Linked DNA regions of Drosophila melanogaster. Each later gene encodes a partner of the first gene's protein in a complex. Each region holds a gene or a part of one and is shown in the gene's direction. Other genes may lie near its edges.

Evidence for each region. Proteins that work in one complex are often made in the same cells at the same time.
Region 2: MED7 (region 1) and MED21 share a complex: the UniProt entries of both Drosophila melanogaster proteins name them as parts of the mediator complex.

The regions. Positions count from the first base shown.
Region 1 is NT_033777.3:10,759,552-10,763,325, reverse strand, and holds MED7 (mediator complex subunit 7), read left to right. Parts: upstream 1-2,293; 5' UTR 2,294-2,392; coding exon 2,393-2,722; intron 2,723-2,783; coding exon 2,784-3,116; 3' UTR 3,117-3,255; downstream 3,256-3,774. Other genes in the region: Cap-H2 (chromosome associated protein H2), read right to left, coding at 1-297, 877-1,079, 1,301-1,482, 1,710-1,743. UniProt on the Drosophila melanogaster protein: Component of the Mediator complex, a coactivator involved in the regulated transcription of nearly all RNA polymerase II-dependent genes.
Region 2 is NT_037436.4:25,114,400-25,118,024, reverse strand, and holds MED21 (mediator complex subunit 21), read left to right. Parts: upstream 1-2,078; 5' UTR 2,079-2,196; exon of another isoform or gene 2,197-2,300; 5' UTR 2,301-2,321; coding exon 2,322-2,363; intron 2,364-2,419; coding exon 2,420-2,806; 3' UTR 2,807-3,101; downstream 3,102-3,625. Other genes in the region: Set1 (SET domain containing 1), read right to left, coding at 3,128-3,301, 3,358-3,625. UniProt on the Drosophila melanogaster protein: Component of the Mediator complex, a coactivator involved in the regulated transcription of nearly all RNA polymerase II-dependent genes.

The DNA.
Region 1 (3,774 bases):
ACGTGATACGTAAACATTTTGTATTGCTTTTTCTCATCCTGGTCGTAGGGATTGTGAGGATCCACAATTGGCGCGTGTTTCCACAGGTTGGGCGGCGTGTGATCCTGATAAAGGTATTCTATCGTCCGATTTCTCGTGCACTTTACAAAGCCCGCCGCGTTGAAGCGCTTGTCGTCCGACATGGTTTTAAACCTTTTCGGTTCCAACGTGAGCAAATAGGGATCAACTTCCTTGTTAGTTAGCTTTTTAGGGTGACGTTTGCGCGTTTCCTCAGGCCTGCGCTCGTTTTTCTCCGGTCTGTAAATATGAAAGGAAAACAATTATTATATCGCTAAATGCAGATTAAAAGAGGATAAGATTTCTTTTTTTTAAAGGACTGATTATTATGTAACTTAAATATTATAATGAAATCATCTTATGTTTAATCAAAATACTGGTGCTATCTTTAAAATTAATTAGACTTTCAACATTTAGGTCAAATAATCTCCCCAAATTCTTTAATGCCGGCTGATAAGAAAGAATTTAAGTGAATTATAATGTAAAAATATTTATTTAGGATGTGATCTATCTCTGAATAACTTGTTATTTTTATGAATGAACTGTCTACGTTTTTAGCTTCACTTGTCTGGTTAATTTCTCATTTCTTTATATACTCTGTTTGTTATTTGTTTTTGGAAGCACGAGAACGTGCCCTATCGTCCATTAACGGCAAGCCGGCTTCTGTGATATTAATGCAAACAAAGCCGAAGGGGGCGTAAAGTGAAGCTCGATAAGCGGAATTCTGGACCGAAAAGAGCCAGCAATGGCGACAAGTGGGGAGCACGTGGCCTTGTCTTTCTCCATCTTCTTAACTCTTCAGTTCTGAGTTAAACTTACGCAGCACTTCCGCTAGGGGTCTCCTTCTGCAACTCCGATGTGAGCAGGGCTTCGATCTGGTGCTCCACCACCTGGCACAGGTACTCCACTCGGTCTCCATAGATCTTGCCGCAGTACTGGAGGGCACTTCCTGCGGCCACGATGGCCGATCTTCGAGAGACATCATTTCGTCCTAAGCAGTGGCGCAGTAGCTCTTCAATATACTGAAAATATAAGCAATGTATTTGAGGATCTGCAGGCTTTTGTGTTCACTGTAAATAAAATAATAGATTTTCTTGAAAACCCATTTATATAATTTTAGTTAAAATACCAGTTATCGAGGCATGACTGTAAAACCCACGCACGTTGCGTCACACTTTTATTTTGATCTTTCTGCTCTTCGGCGGTTTTGCTTATCTTGATAATAGTGGTCTTCAACACTCACATATCCCAGTGATATCCGTAGGTCCGTGGAGTAGTCCGTGTTTTTGGAGAGCTCTTCGAGGAGGACGACTAGCGAGGCCAGGTCCTGTTGCTCATCGTAGGCGCGGATGCACTTGGCCACTTGGGTTCCCGGCCGATTCTTGGCTATTTCCAATATCTGCTCCCGCGCTTCGCTCAAGTAGGCTGTGAATTAAATAGAAACCGATTGGATTTACTTAAGCAAAAACCACACACCCAATCGCAGATCCGCTTTATTGTTTATTTCGGCCCTCCCCATACACACACACACACACTCGCATAGAAGCACCAACACACGCGGTATACTGGAAATAGCGCTGACTTAATCAATGGGAAACGAAGATCACGCCTGGGGCTGTCCTGCGTTGGTTACCTAAGTTCTGGATGCTTACCCGCTTCCGCTTCTTCAGGCAAAATCCGCTCCATGGCTCACTAGATGACACTAGGAAAAGTTTGTTTTATGTCCGGTTTTGCACATTTTACTGGCATCGTGCACAAGCACTGCAAGCACGCACACACGCTGAGTGGGGAAATCAAAATGGTGGAGGCAGCACGGCTTGTCTCTTAGTTGGGTCCAGTTATGTTATGGTTTTACGTTTTGTTTTCATTTCTTTGGCAGGAACAGGAATATTGGCGCGAATCGGTGCTGGAACAATTAGCTATTCACATCAAGATATATATGTGTTTCTTATTTTGTTGTGCTCTACCGACGAATGAGGGAAGAGACGGAGAAAAATTGCTATGGCAATGCTGTAGGGGGTGCATGCAAGCATGGTCACCTTTAAGTTATCGATAGCTAGGCACGGTGAATCATTTATTATTTCGAGCTCGATTAATATCTAATTTAATTTTTGTAATTGTAAATTATTTGTCAGTGTCTCAAAACATATTATAATAAATTCTGCTTATTATTGCATTGTCTAGCTTCAAACCTCTAGTGTGCTCATTTTTAAGAAAACAATTTGAGTGATAGTGTCATCACTATCGTGAGTGATTCGCCTGTCTCAGGTGCCATCACTTCTTCAAAACAAAAATCATTTATTATTTTTGTATTTCCGCACTTGTTAATCTCATAATGTCCAACCAGGAGACCCAGGTTTCCAGCCTGCCGATGCCGCCGGAGCGGTACATCGCCAATTACACGGACGAGAATATCCGCCGCAACCGAGCGCCACGCCCACCGCCGCCGCCGGCGCAGCACGAAGTCTATAGCATGTTTGGCATCCAGTACAACAACGACGAGATGATCCGCAGCTTGGAGTCCCAGAATATTAAGCGACTGATCCCCATCCATTTCGATCGGCGCAAGGAGCTCAAGAAGCTTAACCACTCCCTCTTGGTCAACTTCCTAGATCTCATTGACTTTCTTATCCTGAATCCTGACAGCCCGCGGCGCACGGAAAAGGTGAGTCAATTGACCCATTAAAATGTAGCATCTATTGTATTACACTCATTTGATATCTTAGATTGACGATATCAGTCTGCTGTTCGTCAACATGCATCACCTCCTCAATGAATTTCGCCCACATCAGGCGAGGGAAACGCTGCGCGTCATGATGGAAATGCAGAAGCGGCAGCGCGTTGAGACCGCCGCCCGTTTCCAAAAGCACTTGGAACGTGTGCGCGAGATCGTTAATACCGCCTTCTCAGCTCTGCCGGTTCTAGATGATGACGACGATAGCGGCGGAGCAAAGATTAAGACGGAGGTGGATCCGTTGGAGGCGAATGCGGCGGCCAAGAATGATCCCAGTTACCAGCACGATCGCATGTTGTGCAAGCTTGTGGACGCTATCGAGTAAGCTGAGTTGGCAAAAGACTGGACATCGACGCTGGAAATAGTGTCAATCATTGTGAATGGCTTGGAAAAAAGAGCTCCTCATATTTATAACTCCTTTTAGTATAAGAAATAAAACCCCAATTGTGGGATGAGAATCTTGCACGTCTAATGAGTAATTCATTCAATGGGAATTAATGTGTTAAGTCATCTTTGAGATAAGCTTTACACAGATAAGATCCGAGATAAAGGCTCATGATTAAGCATCCCACAAATTTCACCATTAAAATGACGTAGTCAGCGTGGAGTAATAATATAGTCAAATGTCATAAATTAATAATCTATCTAGAACAATTTATTCAGGATAGGAATAACAATATAAATGTATATATTTAATTGTAAAAATTGTAAAGACATGTGACATGACATGAGACATGAACACCTCACACGTTTTCCTACTTTTAATGGGTGCTACCGCATGGCATCATCGTGGCTAGCCGAAATATGCTCGTACAGTGCGTTTCATAATGTACATATACATATGTGGTTTTAATGAATTTGTATGGAGTTTCATCAAAATTACTAATTTTGTTTGATAAACATGATTAAAAAGTCAATAGAGATATTCATTCACAACTGGAGTATAATGTTTTCCCTAAAATTTTTTTAACTCACTGTGCCCT
Region 2 (3,625 bases), on another chromosome or scaffold:
AAGCACTACTCTTGGAATTTTCTTCGCTAGCGCCTTAAAATCCGGACTAGAAGTCCCCGCCTCACCGACTAGAACTGCTCATTCCGAACATAAATTGACAAATATGCAACAAACTGAACAAAGTGGCATTGAAGCTATGATGCTATCCCTACAGAAAAGCATGAAATATTTCATAACGATCAAAACGTGCAAAATTTCCTGATACAACTTCTTGTATCTTCAAAATCCCCATGCTGGCTTCCCTACGGATATCTATTCACTTCATACACAAGAACTCACACAGTTCATTACCGAAAAAAACACTGGAGTAATGCTACTATCAGAAACGCACCTCACAAATCATTCAGATGGTAAAGCTCTTGGAGGCACTGGCATACTAATCAGAAATCGCATAAAAACCACCTCAATCTACGTCCATAGTCTAACTACTCAACAATGGTTCAATGACTCTAGCCGCAGTCTACTGCCCACCACGCTATCCAATACATACTGACCAGCAGACCCAAGAAAAATCCCAGACCCAGATCACACATAGAACTAACGCCGGCATTATCTGCTAAGGAAAATATAGACAAGTCAACGGACACTGTTGAAAATATTCTAGTTTCGGGTGCAAAGTGACGTATGCCCACCAGCACTAAGAACCTTTTGTAGAGAAAAGACAGTGATGAGAAAAGAGCCAGAGCAGTTGCTGACCACTTACAAATTTTATTTCTACCAAATCCTGCTATAAAGTCATTATTCTCCCTCCTTTAGCAGAAGCAAACTTAGATTATGTGAATTAGCAAAGGTTATCAAAAAGCAACTGAAGCGATTTTGGCTTCGACCTAATAACTCAAAAAATCCTTATTGAACTCCCAGTGTGATGTTCTGCACATGTGCTTGTTGTTCAACGCAATCGCCAAGCATGGATACTTCCCTCAAAAATGGAAAAAATCTACCATAGTAATGATTCCAATGCCAGGAAAAGATAAAACGCAGCCATCATCATATAGACCGATACAGTAACTAACTTATCTCTAAAATTTATTTGAAAAAATGCTACTCCTGGGAATAAGCCCTCGTCATGGAAAAAACATGGAACCATCGAACAGGCCAATCGAATCACGTCAGAAATTCGTACTGCTTTTGAGCATCGAGAATATTACACAGCCATTTTACTAGACGTCGCGCAGGCATTTGACAGTGTTTCTGGATGGACTTTTGCTTAAACTAGCCAAGCTATTGTTCCAAAACATACATAAGCTACTGAAGTCGCAATAAGATGCAAGGAACCTTCACTGGCTCATGCTCGCTCTCCACTTAGCGTGGAGTTCAAAGCTCTCCTATACAACTCCGTCTTAAAACCAATCTGGACTTATGGCTCCGACCTGTGGGGCATCCATTCAGCGAGAACAGCCAACAATTCTGAGAATTCTGACTAGAGCGTGATACCTTCGGAACGAAGACATACACAGAGAGAAAAAAATCAAATTATTTATCGAAATAATAACTGAGAAGAAAATTAAAATACCTAGTAAAACTGACCACCCATTCAAATCCCCTCACAAGAAAACTAATCGGAGGCACAAAGTGTTCGTATCATAAAATCTTTGTTGCTTTTAAAAACCTTTAAAAAACAAGAGAGGTAGCTTTAAAATTTTTCATATGACATCTTTAAGATATGGTGAACCGATTTAGATATGTTAAAAATTAAAAGAATAATTATCGTGAAAAAGGGTACGGCTGTTCTTACTGATATTTATACCCACTTAATTGGACTGAAATGCTTTTTTCACTTCGTTGCAAGCTTATAACTGAAATCGATATACCCTCCTCAAGGATATACCAAGATTGTGTGAGAGAGGTTGCAGACTACTTGGAGACCAACTGCTTCCTTGTTATAACCGAAATTGTGATGATTTTGAACAAGACAAGAGGGATCGATGTGCAACGTGTGGTCATATATTATGGAGATTCCACTGTTTCCGACAATCTTATGGTAGTTTATATCGTTGGAATGAAGACATTATTATGGCACAGTGTGAACAAGAATAATTCGTCTCATTGAAAGAAATCACGTTTTAGTGTGGAACTCATATTAATAGCATTTCTTTTTTTAAGAGAATAGTCGCTGCTGTGAGGTATCTGTAAATAAGACATAAAATCAATCGATAAATAAATGCTTATATATTATAAAAATCACCAACGGTCATTGTATGTTGATATTATGTTGATTATGTTATGTTGATATTAAAAATGTTAATCAAAATTTGAACTGGCTAATCAAACTTAATTCCATATAATTTTTTGTTTTTCAGAATTATTAACTCTGTAGTAAAATGGCGGATCGGCTTACACAATTGCAAGACACCGTTAATCAGGTAAGTGACTTCGTATTAAGAAATAACCAGTTTTTTATGTAAAATAATCATTGCAGCAAGCGGAGCACTTCTGCAATGCTATTGGTGTAATTCAACAAACGTCCCTTCCAAGTAAATTTGTTAATTTTGAACGCATTGGACCCCAAACGCCAATCCCATGTCCGCCGCAAGAAGACTATGCCCAATTATTTGCACAGTTAATTGCACGATGTGCTAAAGACATCGACACCTTAATCGAGTCTCTTCCAAATGAAGACAGCTCCATTGAACTCCAAAATTCTAGCCTTAAGAGGCTCGAGATCGAAAACCAGGGAACTGCAAGAGACCTAGAGGAAGTAGTGCAAAAAGGCGAACTTTTGCTAGAAAAAATGCAGTATTCTTTGGAATGCATTGCTCAGGCTCAATTAGATATGCAAATAACACTCAAACATGATTTACAATAGCTGCTTAACACATTTTTGTATAAAGGCAAATTATTTTTAAATTTAAGATAATGTATTTATTGCATTTTCGTTCGTGTTTACAGATCAAATGGGTTTTAGTATATACATATTGTTTTTATAAGTAAAGTATTTTAGCTTAATTTAGACCTAAACCATTTTGAACAGCACCTCTGACCTCGTTGATATAATTTTTATAATAATTAATTATAGTTTTAAGTTATAAAAAAAACTATATATACTTACACGTACCCCACTTTGGATTTTATGAACAAATTAAATTTATGTGCTCTAAAATATTTAATTCATTGTTGTAAATAAGTATTAGTTAAGTGTACCCCGACATCCTTGGGCGCCGCATAGACAAGGTATTTTTTCGTCTTCTAGTGGAAATTTATAGTCGTAAGTTATTTCCTCGTTGATACCAATGGGTTGCTTTGAATATATTACTATCTTCTTTTCAGATTCAATAGTTATAACCTTAGCGTAGCAATTCGGCTGAAAAACAAAATTTTATGTTGGTAACATAATGTCAGAACATCCAGCTTACTTACATTGCAACTGTGATTTATAAACCGAGCTAAGTTTCCACATTTAGTTGCGTCAATTATAGTTTCCATGTCAATTCGAAACAAATAGGAACTCCCAATCCCAATTGCTTCATACTTTGTTTCTCTTAGATCAGCAACTACAGGTCGAATCATCTGACCAACATATTCAATAACCATTTCGTCTGCAGCTATGGGCTCCATTGCAAATAATCCCCAATCATGTATCGCAGATTTTGCAAACTTAAGCTGTTTCTTCCGAAACTTTAGCTGA